Linked DNA regions of Drosophila melanogaster. The protein of the gene in region 1 interacts with the protein of each later gene in a pairwise test. Each region holds a gene or a part of one and is shown on either strand. Other genes may lie near its edges.

What was found.
Region 2: the proteins of PNUTS (region 1) and Pp1-13C interact in a two-hybrid assay, tested with the Drosophila melanogaster proteins (3 studies listed by BioGRID).
Region 3: the proteins of PNUTS (region 1) and Pp1-87B interact in a two-hybrid assay, tested with the Drosophila melanogaster proteins (2 studies listed by BioGRID).

Annotation. Positions count from the first base shown.
Region 1 is NT_033779.5:868,701-876,470, reverse strand, and holds the start of PNUTS (phosphatase 1 nuclear targeting subunit), read right to left. Parts: upstream 6,007-7,770; 5' UTR 5,919-6,006; exon of another isoform or gene 5,131-5,918; 5' UTR 4,898-5,130; coding exon 4,895-4,897; intron 4,831-4,894; coding exon 4,733-4,830; intron 4,666-4,732; coding exon 4,391-4,665; intron 4,264-4,390; coding exon 2,932-4,263; coding exon of another isoform or gene 2,753-2,931; exon of another isoform or gene 2,322-2,752; intron 1,434-2,321; coding exon 1-1,433. Other genes in the region: dbe (dribble), read left to right, coding at 6,695-7,732.
Region 2 is NC_004354.4:15,358,591-15,362,682, forward strand, and holds Pp1-13C (protein phosphatase 1 at 13C), read right to left. Parts: upstream 2,472-4,092; 5' UTR 2,201-2,471; intron 2,132-2,200; 5' UTR 1,748-2,131; coding exon 839-1,747; 3' UTR 511-838; downstream 1-510.
Region 3 is NT_033777.3:12,423,111-12,427,940, forward strand, and holds Pp1-87B (protein phosphatase 1 at 87B), read right to left. Parts: upstream 2,808-4,830; 5' UTR 2,579-2,807; coding exon 1,670-2,578; 3' UTR 1,501-1,669; intron 1,407-1,500; 3' UTR 511-1,406; downstream 1-510. Other genes in the region: CG17202 (uncharacterized protein), read left to right, coding at 1-356; NANS (N-acetylneuraminic acid synthase), read left to right, coding at 3,502-3,837, 3,944-4,726; CG5641 (uncharacterized protein), read right to left, coding at 4,778-4,830. UniProt on the Drosophila melanogaster protein: Is essential for the regulation of mitotic chromosomal segregation as well as regulation of chromatin condensation during interphase.

The DNA.
Region 1 (7,770 bases):
TCCATTGGGCGGCCCGTTCATCATGGGTCCATTGGGTGGGCCGTTCATCATGGGGCCGTTGGGTCCCATCACTGGACCATTGGGTCCCATTACCGGTCCCGGACCTGGTCCATTCATCATCATGGGCGGGTACTGATTGAATCCAGGTGGTGGGCCGCTTCCGAATGGAGACACTGGACTTCCAAACTGATTGCCCATAAAGTTTTGCGGTGGCATGTTGTTCATGTTCATATTGCTCATATCCATTCCGGGGCCACCGGGTCCGTTCATCATGGGCGGTACACCGGGCGGCCCACCTACCGGACCCATTTGGTTCTGCCAGATTTGCGGCGTTCCGTTGGGCACTTGATTTGGCATCATGTTTGGTCCGGGTGGCATTCCCGTGGGAGCAGGCATGCCTCCCATGAACGGATCGAATGGATTTTGCATTAGGTTCGGTCCAGCTCCCAGTCCGGTCAACATATTGTCATTGAAGCCCATGTCCGATCCGCTGATATTTGCTCCGACTCCCGAGCTAGGCGCGTATTTCTTGGGCTCCGGCCACGCCAAGGCACTGTAGTCGTTGACAGCATCCGGATTCCCCGTCAGGTCATCCATGGGTATCACGGGAATGTCATGAGCAAAATGCGGTTCCAGTTCCGCCTCCGCAGGACTGTCGGGAATCATGTCGGGCGAGAAGTACAGGGCTCTTAGAGTGGTGGCCTCCCTGTCCATCTGCACCTGGCGCTGCTTGGAGAGGTTTCCGTTCGGGTGGTCGGGCACATTATCGACTTCGAGTAGTGGCCGCCACTCCATTTGCGGCTCCATGGTATCGTCGAATCCACGCCGAGCAATGGTCAGCGCGTCCCGCTCGCTGAATCGCTCCATGTTCTTCATTTCCAGGAAGGTCTGCTTCATCACATTTACGCGCTCTGAGCGATCGACCTCGAAGTATCGTATCTGGGTGAGCTTTTCCTCTGACTGCCAGGTTAGCTTCTTTTTCGGGCCCTTGCGGCGGTGCAGCGTGAGCACTCCCGGTGGTCCATCGGGTCCACAGCCAGGTCCAGGCTTCTTGGGCTCCTCGGGAAGATCTTCAGCGTTGTCAGAGGTGTTACCCGCTTCTCCGCCTTCTCCGCCTGCCGCAGCCTTCGCCTTCTGCACCTTTTGCTCGATGTCCTCCTTGACCCTCTTAAGGGGAATGTCGTCGTCATCGGCATCCGTGTCCTTGCCAGGTGACGAGGAGCGCGCATCATCGTTTTCCTTGCTGCTGTCGTCCGACTTCTCCTCGCTCTTCGACTCGTCCAGAGTATCCTGGTAGAACTTAAGCGGCGCCAGTGGCGCGTCCTTGTCCGTGGGCGATGTTGCAGACGTACGCTTGCGCTTCACCACCTTTTTGGGTTCGATGGAGGCGGCCAGGGCGTCCGAGAACAGGTTGGTCTCCACCAGGGTTTGAACTGGAAAAATGAGGGTAAAGTAAGTAATCGCTCCAGTAATTGGTTTAGTTAAGAAAATGTTTAAGTGGCCTTCGTTGAATGGCCCATTGGCTTTGGTGGATTTTGCTTTTGCTGGAAATTGCTAGAAGTAAAAAAGTTATGGAAAGAAACAATCTGATCTGGACACACACATTTGTTGTGTTTATGATTGATTGATTAAGTTTACCCACATTTCGATAATTAATGAAATGGGAGTCTCTCTACTGGAATAAGCACCGAATATATACCAAAACCTAGAACTACTAAACAATTCATGAATTTTCCCCAAAAGTTCTTTAAAAGTTTTGGCTTGCTCGACTTTATTCGGTATAATTTCATATATAAATGTCAAAATGTAATTATTCGACTTTTTTTTATTTAACTAGTTTTTCAACACAAATAGTGTTTAATCATCATAATTAAAATAGTTATAAGCTCTCATTGCGATTGAAACTTGAGAAGTACGCTTATTAAAAGTGTATTGCTAAGACTACTAGTTATACGCAATAGTTAAACCTCTTTAAACTTTGATGCTTTTAGTATATTTATGTCAGCACATCGATAAGTGTCATTGGGTTTCCTCAGCACTAATCTACCCAAGGAACCCGACACTGCGATCAGATTACGCGCACCGTGCAGCTTACTGCCAAGGTGACGCATCCGCTGATGACGCACTACGACGAGGATGTGGGTAAACTAGGGTTGCCTGCTCTAGCGAGGCGAACAATTGTGGAGACCCTCGGTGACGCACGACAGCAAAATCGAGGCCAAAGCAAAGCAGCTGGGACTCAAGCCCACGGTGGTGATCGAACCACCTACCAACTTATAGAACCGCCAGCTTAAGTCAATATTTTCGTTTTCGTTTCTTTTGCGCTCAATGCATTTTTTTATTCAATAGAAAAATCGTATTTTTCTAGAGGAAACCGTATTTTATTTGTAAGTCTTTAAGGTGGGCTGCTCGCCAAGTGAATCTACATACCTTATAGCTAAGCTAAGCTAAATACGTTCAAGATTTGAGGTTTGAATACTTAACATCAGGCAGCGACAACGACGACGACGACGGCGGCGGCGGCATCGTCTGTGCCTCAGATTTCGTTTTCGTTCGGTCTCAGCGCATGCGCAGTGCCCAGATTTCGGGATTCAACTCCATTCAACTTCATCCGCCGTCATCCGGAATTGAGGTCATAGACTCACACTCGGGCAGCTTGCAGTTCAAACTCGATCCGGGGATAACACCGCCACGATTGATACATTATAATGCAAAGTACCCACACTAAAAGGCCCCACTTCTGCTCTACAATTTAAGACCCGCCCCAAGCAAAATTAAACACCTTGAGAATGGAATGGAGATCAACAAATAATACGGCGGAGTTCGACATTCGACTCCGATCGAAAACAAAAGCAAAAGCCACCAAAGTTCTTGGGCTGTGGAATAAAATAGAGAAGAGCATTAATAGTGATTCTAGCATCTGTTGCTTACTCTTTTTGGGCGCTATCAGCTTGGCGGCTCCGGGCCTCTCCACATGTCCCGCGACGTTGTTGATGTCGATCTTGGCCTTCTTGTCGGTGGACAAATCCCTGGGTGGCGGCGATGGTCGCTTCAGTGAAGACGGGACTGCCATTAAAGCGGGTGAAGCGGCAACCGCCGACGATGTGGGCTTCTTTAGGCCCTTGCGAGATGGGGGAGGCGGAGCCTCTTCCGTCAGGCCATGCGATCTGAATTTGGACTGGTACGTCTTTACAGTGGCCGTCTTTTCGGTGTCCCGGCGAATTTCTATCGAAATGGAGGCCTTGCGGGACATGATAGGAATCGATCTGGGCTTCTGTGCGTCGCTCTCCTTTGCCGAAGCTGTAGGAGATGTACCTGCAGCATTTGATGCTGCCACAGCTGGCGGAGGCATTAGCTTGTTGTCCTTGTCCTTGTCCTGCCTCGAGGATGAGGATGATGACGAAGTTGACGACGACGACTTGCGATCTTTGGACGAACTAGAACCAGAGCTGCTCGACGACGACGACGACGACGACGAGGAGGACTTTGAGGACTTGTGTTTATTCGAGGAAGAAGAAGACGAACCGCTGCTGCGCTCCCGGTCCTTGCTCGAGCTGGAGGAGCCGGAACTTGAGCGAGCCTTGTCTTTATCGCGGTATTTATCGCTAGAACTGCGATGGGAAGAGGAAGAAGATGAGGAGCTCTTGGAAGAACTGCTCTTCGAAGAGGAGGATGACGAGGAAGAGGACGACTTATGGCTAGATGAGGAGGACCTATGACTTGAACTTTCCTTCTTTCTATCCTTCTCGCGCTCCTTCTCGGACCGTTTACTTTTGTCGCTCTTTGAGCTCTTATGCTTCTTATTATCCACGTCCTCCCCAGACTTAACCTCCGCCGCGGAGCTACTATCATCTAACCCGGACTTTTTCCCCAGACTAGCATCTGCTAATAAGTGGGTTGCGGAGGAGCCCTTTTCCAGATGTTCCACCTCGTTGTCTTTCGATTGTGTGCCAGAATCCGTTTCGTCGCCACCATCTGGGTTGTCCAACAAAGGCTTCCACTTGATGGTAATGCTGTTGGAATTGCTACTGTTGGCCGCCGAGGTGATGGTATACGTCACAGGTGCTCCGGCGCTATCAGTGCTGTCTGAAGAAGAGGCAGAGTCCGGAACTGAAGCGGAGCCAGCTCCAGAAACGGATGCAGGAACCTGAGAGGCAGTAGTGGCTGCAATATGTGGCGCAGCACCTTGGATCGTCATGCTTGTGTTTTCCGTCACAATCTTCAGCCACTGCTCTACCAAACGCTTGGCTAGAATGCGTACACCTGGAAAACGGGGTCGAGAAAAGCCAATTAGTAATCCCTAGGTAATTAAAAGCATAAAGGACAGCCCAAAACATGACCCAAAAACACTAATCTACGACTAGAGTAAGACTTATCAAAGAAAACTTACCTTCGTTGCCGCCATCCTTGCACAGCCCCTTGACCAGAATAGGTGCTGAGTTTATCTTGAGGCGATTGACATCCACGGGAGAAAGGAGCAGCAGTTCCAGGATCTCCTGTACCAGCGGCCAGTTCATGGCCCTGATGGCATCATTTAACCAGGTGTAGACCAGCGACCAACCGCCCACCGCCATAAAGTCGCCCAATAGTTCCGTCTTTGTGGATTTCAGAATTTGTACATACACACATTTCGAGACGAGTTTTTTTGAATACTTGGCCATCAAACTGTGGGCGAAAAACTTGATATTAGCAAACGCCGATAGGTGTCGCTGCTGACAAGTGGTGAACTTACCCCGAAATGCGTTTCACCTCCACTGCACTTAAAATTCCACCATTATTGTCCAAAAGCACCCGCAGGCACCTCAGCAATTGCAGTGGAACTATACGAGGCTGTCGAATAAAAACATTAAATAAAGCACAACTGTTGTTGCATTTCCTAGCCAATATAACTCACCATTTTCTTTGTTAGTCGTGCGAAAGAAGAAAATTTATCTGGCAACGCTAACTCCCTATAGCCGTCTCTCTTCCACACTTGTAGGTGTGACCATACGCAACGTGTGCGCGTGTGTTGGATCGTGCGTGTGTGCACCGACACTCGCTTTTGTTGGTATGGGTGTCTTAATAGATACTAAATTTCCACTGATTACGTAATTCCATAAGAATTCGCTTTTTCAAGGACTGCAATAGTATCTAAAATAGGAGAAAACACCAGTCTGAGAACAAATTTAGCAGGATAAAATTTTGCTATATCCCTACAATTCACTTTTAAGACGAGTATTAAATAAATTCCAGCAGCAGCGCCAAAATATGATAAATGCTGTTATTTTATTGTCTCAACTGGCAGTAAACCAATAATCCCTCCGCTTGAATGTTTTGTTTTTTGTTTTGGAGCTGCAGAAAACGTGTTTTACGCGTTGCGATTTTTTCAGGCACTGATGAAATTCGGACGTGTGCTCGCGGCTATCGGTAATCGATAAGCCAGTGCAGCCCTGAAGGCTGTCCACTCTCAGAAAACCGAAAATTATATATTACGACGTATTGGTATTGATACGAAAACATGCGTTCGTCTGAACGTTTGTAGCACAAATGTCTCTCTACCTCGTTTTTGGTTACAACCCAAATTTGACTTTAGGTACAAGCAAAATGTGAAAGTTACTTAGTTTTTCTGTTAAAGCAGGTTGGCAGCGCCTTGCCACGCACACAACAATGACGCCATTTTGATTTTCACAATTTTTCACAAAGGCGTAATTAAATCCGCAGCCAAGGGAAATGCTAGAAAATTGTCTTTTAATAGCAACTTCAACAATATCGGCCACTTTATATTGATTTTTCTTTGTTTAATCCTAATTATCGGCTTTCGTTCACGTCCACGCCCCAAAATTGGACATGCGGTTAGGTCCGCACACTTAGGTCGAGCAAATCGGTAATAAGCCTTCCAGAAAATATATATTAAATGTACAATTGTTTATCGGCCTTACAATTTGTTAAATATTTAATTGGCGACGATTTTTCTATCTCTCCGAAAACTCCTGCGTGCGCTTTGCTTAGGCTCACAAAATCGTGTGACCTTTCCTTGCTTGAAAATAAAAGTTTGTTTAGAAAATACCAAAACGCATAGTCGGAATATGGTAATCTAATTAATACCCCTATTTTGAAAGTACAAACAATAATTATTTACTTAAAAACACTTTTAATATAAATGGATTTAGTTTCCCGTTAACAGTTTCAAAAACTATCCACGGTGGATAATAGCGAATGCTATAAAAAGAAATTTATTGAATTAAGATTTTAATTCATCTTAATTATTCTAACACATATAATGGCATAAGTTATAGATACCCTGAGCTCTTTTTCAATTAAATAAAATTTGTGAAGGTGTCAGGGCTAAATCATGTATTGTTTGACTTATTTCTTATATTTTAGATATTCAGAATTGCATATTTTATTAGTATTGATGTACCCAATATCCTTAATATTTGAGTTACATTGGAATCGCAATTTTGTTAAGGCATTTATCTGGCACACGATCAAATATAATTGTATTTGAATATATATTTTAAAACATTCTCAATCGAAAAATTTATTTTATAATCAAGATAAAAATAAACCTTTAAATAGGTAATCTATCAATAATATTAACCAACCAGTTTTCCCTGATATGGTCACACGCATTTACCGCTGATCTGGCAGCCTGGCCAAAACAAGCGTGCAAGAATCTTACCTGTAGAATTAGCTTCTGAAAACTCGAGTAACGATGAGCGAAAGTGAAGCGGAGGAGACCAAAATCAGCACCGAGCCGGTGGACAATGCGTGGTCCATGAAGATCCCTGCCTTCAGGCAGGAGGACAACCCGCATGGGATGGTGGAGGAGAGCTCCTTCGCCACGCTGTTTCCCAAATATCGGGAGCGCTATCTTAAGGAGGTTTGGCCTCTGGTGGAGCAGTGCTTGGCGGAGCACCACCTGAAGGCGGAGCTAGATTTGATGGAGGGGAGCATGGTGGTGAAGACCAGTCGCAAGACCTGGGATCCCTACATCATCATCAAGGCGCGGGATATGATCAAGCTGATGGCCAGAAGTGTTCCCTTCGAGCAGGCCAAGCGGGTCCTGCAGGACGACATTGGGTGTGACATCATCAAAATCGGAAACCTTGTGCACAAGAAGGAGAAGTTCGTGAAGCGGCGACAGCGTTTGATCGGACCTAACGGCGCCACCCTTAAGTCCATTGAACTGCTCACCGATTGCTACGTTTTGGTTCAAGGAAACACAGTCTCCGCCTTGGGTCCTTACAAGGGCCTTCAGCAGGTGCGGGATATAGTCCTGGAGACCATGAACAATGTGCACCCCATATACAACATTAAGGCTCTGATGATCAAGCGGGAGCTGATGAAGGATCCGCGTCTGGCCAACGAGGACTGGTCCCGATTCCTGCCCAAGTTCAAGAACAAAAACATTAGCAAACGCAAGCAGCCGAAGGTCAAGAAGCAAAAGAAGGAGTACACCCCATTCCCGCCCAGCCAGCCGGAGAGCAAGGTGGACAAGCAGCTGGCCAGCGGAGAGTACTTCCTCAACCAGGAGCAGAAGCAAGCGAAGCGCAACCAGGAGCGCACCGAAAAGCAGAAGGAGGCGGCCAAGCGCCAGGACGAACGCCGAAACAAGGACTTTGTCCCGCCCACGGAGGAGTCAGCTGCTTCAAGTCGGAAGAAGGAGGATGGCTCCTCCTCCAGCAAGGTGGACGTGAAGGCCCTGAAGGCCAAGCTGATCAAGGCCAACAAGAAGGCGAGGAGCAGCTGATAGTTTTCCTAGTTTTAATTAGTAGTAGGACCTATTCA
Region 2 (4,092 bases), on another chromosome or scaffold:
TTTCATTGCCCACTTTCTTTTCTGATTGTTTACGCGCTAATGACCTCATTATATATATAATGTAATTTGTTGTTGCCACACTGGGTTCCTTTTCTCTATTGTTTTTTTTTTCATCTTGTTTTGACATAATAAAGCGTTTTTGGCGCAATTTGTTGTATCTTTGTCTCTGTTTTTTTGTTTGTCGTCTGTCTGCCAGCTCGCTCCCTCTCTCTTACGCCCCCATATCGCCCACTCATTTTACGTGTGCATGTGTGCATGTGTGTGCGTGTGCTTTGTTAATTTTTAAGCATTGTTAATATAATATGGCGGTGACTTCTGTCACCGAACACGAACAGATGGAGGTGAATCTCTTTTTCAGGGGGATCACCCACTTTTCACTCCGCCGGAATTCGTAGCACACTTTTCAGGGCTTCCACATTTGGGAAAGGTGCTTAAATTAAGAGTTGGATAAACTAGCTGACAAGATTAATTAGGAAATCGAAAAAAAACAACAATTAGATGAAAACACTTGAAATTTTAAATGTAAGTTTATTTTTGTAAAAGTCGCATATGGCGTTATTTTGCATTAGCTAAGCATAAGCTCTGCGTTCAAATCTCAGTGAACTTACACATATCATACAATATGCAAGAATTGGCTAGTGGATACCTCTGAAGACAGTTAGGATCCATGGAGGTATACGTTGTAGTTGAGCCATTTCCCTCGATCCGGTTGACTAGAGATGTATGTGGATATTATGATTTCGAACCGATTTCGTGTAGGATATTGTGAATGAGTCGCGTGCCGCGTGTTACAATATATAAGAATAAATCTAGAAGCGTCTACAGATCTCGCTGTCCTCTACTTCTTGCGCTTCTCGACAGGCTTCAGGATTTGGAAGGAGCACATGAGTGTATTGTCCACGGACATCATGGCACCAGCATTGTCGAATTCACCGCAATAGTTGGGGGCGGAAAACAAAGTGACCAATTGGCGCTTGGCAAAGAACTCGTAACCATCCTCGACGACTTGATGGGCACGACAGATCAGATCCAGATCGTGCTTTTGGAGGAACTTGACCACAACTTCGGCGCCAAAGGTGAAACTAACGCCACGGTCGTTCTCGCCCCACCCAATGGTGTCCTTGTCCGGATCGGACCACAGCAGGTCACAGAGTAGTCCCTGATCGGGAACATCGGTGGGACGCATAATACGACGGATCTGCTCCATCGAGGTAAGATCCGGACTCAGTCCGCCGTGGCAGCAAAAGATCTTCTCATCCACAATGGCCACAACTGGCAGACAGTTGAAGCAGTCCGTGAATGTCTTCCACAACTTGATGGTATATCTGCGCTTGCACTCGTCGTAGAATCCATAGATTCTATTAATGCTGGCGCACTCGTGATTGCCGCGCAACAAAAAGAAGTTCTCCGAATACTTGATCTTGTACGCCAACAGCAGGCAGATGGTCTCCAGCGACTGCTTGCCCCTGTCCACGTAATCGCCCAAGAAAAGATAGTTAGCCTCCGGCGGATAGCCGCCGTACTCGAACAGACGCAACAGATCATAGTACTGGCCATGGATATCGCCGCAGATCTTGAGCGGCGCCTCCAGCTCTAAGAGTATGGGCTGTGCCAGCAGTATTTCGCGCGACTTGAGGCACAGGCCCCGTATCTCACCCTCCGACAGCTGGACATTCTTGCCAGGCCGTGCGCCACGCACCTCCAACAGACGGGAAATTATGCTCTCCAAATTGAGAACCTCCGCCATGGCCTCGGTCTTGGGGGCCGCGGCTGCGTTGTCCGGGCTGGATAGGACAATCGTCTGGGACGCCGTTGGGGCTGCTTGTCAGGGACTCACCCTGAGATCGCGGCTGTCTGGAGAATGGGACTGGATCCTCGGCGGAGCTGGTCTATTTGGGTCACAAACTTAGCTTCTTGGGTGCAGCAAAATGTATGTCCTGATGACGTGCACTTTTTGTGATGATTTGTGAATTTTTCGATTTACTCAATACCAGGTGCTCAATACCAGAACATAACCGAATGGAATTGCTTCTTCTCGATATGTGGCGGTGAATTGTTTAGCGTTCAGCTTTTTTTTTCTTTTGATTCTTTCACAAAATGCCTAATAAAAATGTAGGACAAATTCTCGCTTCTAGAAAAAGTGAAAAGAAAAAGGTTTGACAGCTTGATTAGCTATATCGATTGAAATCGATTACCCTACCTTCTCTAAGTTCCTTCTAGTGGTGTGCAAAGTCCAGCTGTTGTAATCTAAATTCTAGAATCTAGACATTTGACCTCTGCGTGCTGTACTAGCAGTCGTCTTTAGATCGTGTTTTTTTTTTTTCGATTTCGCTTCTCCGGAAGTTAATGAAAATTGAGGATCTGATCGGATACACATGTGCTGTTCACTAAAACGCACTTTAATACTCTACATTCGCGCTTTTGCGGTATCTTAAAAATTTTAAAAAAAATTTTGATTCCGGAACGGTGACCTTTATACTTTTCAAAGACTAAACGAATGACAAATCGACGACAGACAAGTCAGTGACTACATCGCATTGTTCCAGTTCGTGTTTCATGGAAATGTGATGGTATAGTGATTTCTCAGAAACTTTTACAATAGAAAATATATATATTATATAAACGCATTTATTTGTATTTTCTTCGCATGTTCTAGGTTTTAAACTAAAATAAACGATACCTTAACCATCCTTATAAGCTGTCTTACATCCCGCGTTTGCAGTACTAGAAAGGTATTATTTAAGTTGGTCACCCCTGGAAAAGTGTGCCGACCCTCGTCTGACCCTCGCCCATTTGTTCATATTATCTCTGATTGAGTGGAAAACTTGAAGTTGCCGAGTGCCATTTGCTGTGCACCCCGGTTTTGGTATATTGTATATGAGCTTATTTCGTCGGATTTCCCGGCTAGTGTGGCCACTAATTAGCTGCAATTTGTTGGCGCAACTTGAAAAATGGCAGTGTAAACAGGGTATTTTCCAGTGTCCCAATAATGAGGCAATAACCCCGCATTTTTCACATACATACCATATATATACCATATATATATGTACACATAAGTATATTACATAAATAGCGAGCTGTTCGAGCTGATTGAACTGCTTTGTCGGCTGTTGGCGAAGGGCTCCACTGTACAGTGTGTATCGTGTGCTGGCGCACCGCAAAGCAAACATTCAAACATTCAAACAGCAGCGGCATCGTTTATTTTGGGGAAACAAAGGACCTCATTTTCCCCCATTTGTTTGACCAGCAAGGCAGCAAGGACAACAAGGACAACAGGGACCAACAACAAGCGGCCAAGTTTTATAAATGGCTTGGCCATTGTTGTGCGCCCGCCGCTGTTTGTTGAAATTAATTGGTGTTACACAAATGAGTAATTTTCAATGTACATAAATATTTGCACAAATTGCAATTTGTGTTGTGCGGCGGGGGATTGTCGGTGAGAGGGGGAGTAAGGGGGCGCACTCACTTTCGAGTGCTGTTCAAATAGCCATTTTTATTGTCAAGCGCTAATAATTTCCACAATGAATAATATGAACGGCAAGCATCTGTTATTATTCCAAACAAATCAAAACAAGTGCAGTCGAAACGAAACCGTGTGGGAGTGGGAGTGGGCCAAGACTCTTGAGTGCTGAGCCCTGAGCTTCTGAGCCAGTGATATTCAGAGTCCTGCATCCTGGGCATCCCACCCTGCGCTGGCATCCTGGCCACACACAAATCTTCATAAATTGCAACGGCCGGGGCGACAGTTTTGGGAATTGAGACAAAGTGCGAGAAGTGCCTGTGTACAGGGGCGAAATGCGAAAAGGGGTCGCCAAATGGGAAAATGATACACTTTACTTTACTTATTTTTACACATACACACACACGCACATACGGAAAGGACACCCCGTCGCACACAGACACAATCAAGGAGCAACAAATTGCCGCATAAATGTGGGGTGGTTCGCCACCTAATAGATTTTATTTTATTTTTATATCCGCCAGACGCGCAGCCAGCGGCCAACTTTTTTCCTACTTGTCGTTGTTTTATTTATTTATTTTTTTTTTTTTTGGCAGGGGGTTGCGATTCATGGCCTTACTTACTTTTACTTT
Region 3 (4,830 bases), on another chromosome or scaffold:
AGGATCTGCAGCTGGCCAACGAGGAGATCCAGCGTCTGCGCGCCATCATCAACGGCATCAATCCCGACGTGCTCCAGGGTCATCAGCCAGTGGCTTCAAGTGAAGTAGTGGTCGCAACGGAGGCGCCACAGACCGTGGCCGAGTCCACTGAGGCGGCGGAGCAGCAGCAGCAGCAGCAGCAGCAGGAGAACGGCGAGACTGAGCTGGAGAAACCTAACGAAAGTTCGGCGGACGTTGCGGAGATAACTGCCGCTGTGGAGGCCTGCCAGATTGAGGGGAACTCGGTGGTGACCACCGATGAAGCCGCACAGCCAAGCCCAACCGTCCAAGCTGAAGCCAGTGGCTCCAGTGAGTAGATCTCAGATGACAGCAGCACGTGCCAGCACACACCAAACGTAAAAACAAAAACATCCCATTTAGAACGCATTCATTTAGAAGAAATGTTAAGTATTTTCCGGAATTTACATGTAAATAAAGCGAAATAAAGCATGAGCGCATGCAGCGTATTATGGATTTTTCAAATGTGTTTATTGAAATCAGTTTCATAATTCATACACGTTTTATATCATTTGTTTATTAATACAAAGGATTATTGATAATACATATTAATAATAGTTAATTTTTAAAAAACACATCCTTAAAATGACGGGAAGCGGACGTTTGAATAGCTGATGAATGGTAAGGAGTTTTAGGGACAAACTAATATATTTCGCTGATTTTCTTGCAGATATTTCTCTGGCTGGCTGGCTGGCTGGTCCATTCGGTCGGACTGCATTGTGGACGAACAAAAAAAAAACTGATTCAAGGTCGAAACTTAGTGCTTATAATTCCTCTTTATACTTCTTGGCAAGCATTCGCCTCCACCTCCTCGGTTCAACGATTTCCCCTCTTCGATTTTTTGTTTCTTGTTTTGTTTTCACTTGCTCTATACTCTTAAGGCCAACGAGCACTACAGGGCCCCCACATCTGTATGCTTTGTGACCGACTGGCGTCCAGTCGCTCCTCTGCTGCTCCGTTTCCATCTAATCTGCATGGTTATGCGCTTGGTGCTCTGCTCGAACGGTCAGTTGATTAACCTAGTGTTTAAATTTTGGACAAAACCTATAAAAGCGCTGGTGTTCAAATGTGTGTACATGTGTGTGCGTGGGTGAATGGTTGGTCGGTCGGTAGATATACATATATATATATATATACGGGGGCTATTACAAATAAATATGTGGCTTTTAATCATGGTATTTGTCAATGTGTTTGTAATTGCGATTTAAATCTCAATGGGTGTGGGGTGGAAGGGGAAAACTGCAGTCATCTGCTGGAAGGGATGTCTCTGGGGATGTCCTTTGATCGTGGCGCTGCTATTCCATACCAAATTAATGGTGCAATTTCTTGTGGATTTCGACTCGCCCCGGCTGCCGATGATAAAAGTGACCAAAAACAGAGATAAGGTTGGGGTGAGAGTGTGATTCACTAGTTTGTTACTCTGCGTCAGCAGCCCATACTTACGTTTCATGCATCATTTGATGTGTTGTTTCAAAGGATTTTATTTCTGGTTGATTGTGTGGTTGGGTTTGTGGTTGTTTTTGTCGTGTTTATCTTTTGTATCTTGTTTGGATTTCTTATTGATCTGTTTTAGATAGAAAAAGACTGCTCGTGGTGCTGCAGTTGTGTGATATTACTTTTTACGCTTGTCGGCTGGCTTGAGGATTTGGAACGAGCACATCAGCGTATCGTCCACGGACATCATGGCGCCGGCATTGTCGAACTCGCCGCAGTAGTTGGGCGCCGAGAACAGGGTGACCAGCATGCGTTTGGCAAAGAACTCGTACCCATCCTCGACGACTTGATGGGCTCGGCAGATGAGATCGAACTCGTGCTTCTGCAAAAACTTGGCCACCACCTCGGCACCGAAGGTGAAGCTAACGCCGCGGTCGTTTTCGCCCCAGCCCATGGTATCCTTATCGGGATCGGACCACAGGAGATCGCACAGCAGTCCCTGGTCGGGCACATCGGTTGGCCGCATAATGCGACGGATCTGCTCCATGGAGGTCAAATCGGGACTGAGACCACCGTGGCAGCAGAAGATCTTCTCGTCGACAATGGCCGCCACTGGCAGGCAGTTGAAGCAGTCCGTGAATGTCTTCCACAACTTGATGCTGTAGCGACGCTTGCATTCGTCGTAGAATCCGTATATGCGATTAATGCTGGCGCATTCGTGGTTGCCGCGCAGCAGGAAGAAATTCTCCGAGTATTTGATCTTGTAGGCGAGCAGCAGGCAGATCGTCTCCAGCGATTGCTTGCCGCGATCGACGTAGTCGCCGAGGAACAGGTAATTCGATTCCGGCGGAAAGCCGCCGTACTCGAACAGACGCAACAGATCGTAGTACTGTCCATGGATGTCGCCGCAGATCTTCAACGGTGCCTCTAGCTCGAGCAGAATGGGCTGCGACAGGAAGATCTCGCGCGACTTCAAGCAAAGTCCCCGGATCTCGCCCTCCGAGAGCTGTACGTTTTTACCTGGCCGTGCCCCACGCACCTCGAGAAGTCGCGATATTATGCTGTCGATATTCATCACGTCGCCCATGTTTGCGTGCGAAAGTGTGGATCTGGTGCACTAGTGCTGCTGTTGGGTGTCGAGGTTACCGCGAACGATCGTTGGTAGCGCCGAAATAGCCTCGAAATCTTTAATTTCCGAAATCTATTTCTGCTAAATACTTTTCACAGCTAACAAGTATGAAAATTTCTTCGTATGCTGTTGCGTGAGTGCGGGCGGGATGGCGAGTGTGCTTCTAGCTGATGTTGCCACACTGCCGGAAGTCGCGGATATGGCCAGATAATAGACGCCATCTTATCTAATCGATAACATGCAAATATAGTGCATAATCGATAACGAAGTTGCTGTAATATTACTCTTATTACATTAAGGACATTTCCAATCCATTGCAAGAGTTCCGCAATAGCTCTACTTTTATATTTTCATTCGAAACGGGTCTTCTCGACCCTATAGTGGCTCGAAACTGCTGTTAGTAATCGATTAAACGCATGGCGTCCAGTTACTCTATTTCAGCGGTGTGGCAGCCTGATCAGGGGGACACTAGCCATCCCGCTTGCACTCAGGCACGCCTGGCATGACTTACTGTGGAAAAGAGATGGGAGACTGATGCATTTGGCGAGGCTATTCGATATACCGGTAACAAGGGGATATTTAAATACATTGGAAATTCAAATAAGCCAATAAGAATATTCGTTTACAGAACATAGGTTAATTCATTTTCCTTATTGGAATAACTTCCACATGAGTTATGATTTAAAATGCCAAATTTCCCTTAAATTCTCACAAAACTAAATAATATATTGATAGATATATTAACAATCACACTATGTAAAAATTTTGTATGAAATGTGCTCATGTCTTGTTATCGATAATTCGATACTCTATGCATTTCCTGCCTACGCCCGCTAATCATTTAATTAACTGTTAAATAGGCGGGTTTCAATTTAATCAAAATGCTGTTAAACGATATCATAAGCGGAAAATTAGTTGATTCCGTCTATATTATAGCGGAAATTGGCCAAAATCACCAAGGTTGTGTGGAAACAGCGAAGAAAATGATATGGGAGGCCAAAAAAGCCGGTTGCCACTGCGTCAAGTTTCAAAAATCGGATTTGCCAGCAAAGTTTACGAGATCCGCTCTAGATCGCGAATATATCAGTGATCACGCCTGGGGAAAAACGTACGGGGAGCACAAGGAGTACCTGGAGTTCTCCAAAGATCAGTATCTCCAGCTGCAGGCCCACTGCAAGGAGTTAAATGTGGACTTTACGGCTTCCGCCATGGATGAGGTTGATATTAATTAATTGTTAACCAATTACTACTACTAACAATTCCTTTTTTCCCTTGTTTCTTGCTTAAATAGTTATTAATGTGTGTATATGCTATTTTAAACAGAGATCGTTGGAGTTCCTTTCTGCTCTAAATGTTCCCTTCATCAAAATTGGTTCCGGAGACGCAAACAACTTTCCGCTTCTCAAAAAGGCCGCCAATTTGAACTTGCCCCTGGTGATCTCCACCGGAATGCAGACTATGCAAACTGTGGAGAGGATTGTGCAAACTATGCGGGAGTCAGGAAAAGAGGACTACGCTCTAATGCACTGCGTTTCATCGTACCCAACTGACCCAAAAGATTGCAGCTTGCAGTTGATATCCGTCTTAAGGACACGCTTTCCCAATGTGGCAATTGGGTACTCGGGTCATGAGCTGGGAGTGATCATTAGCCAGGCCGCCGTCTTGCTGGGAGCACGCATAGTGGAGCGCCACTTTACGCTGGACAAGAGTCAGAAGGGCTCCGATCATCGCTGCTCCCTAGAGCCGCAAGAATTAAAAGCTCTGACTACAGCCATCACCAACTTCAAACTCTCTTCAGTTCCCATGCCTCCACAAGAAATAGTTAAAAAGTTAAATGGAGATGAGGAACTAGAGGCAGCTCTTCAGCACGTTGAGTCTAAAACCATTTTGCCGTGCGAGCTGCCCTGCCGAAATAAACTGGGCAAATCTATTGTGGCAGCTAGGAATCTCAATAAGGGTTACAGGTTGCAATTGGCAGATATGGCCATTAAAGTCAGTGAACCCAGCGGCCTGACAGCGGAGGATTTCTTGGACTTGGTAGGCAAGGAATTGGCAGACAATATTGGTGAGGATGAACCCATACTTGGGAATAGTATAATCAATTGAATCATGGGTTGGGAATTTAAATACACTTGTAAATGAATAGCTTGGTCTGTATTACTCGGCGCCATCGTCGCTGCCCTCTTCTTCGTTCTCATTCTCGATCATGT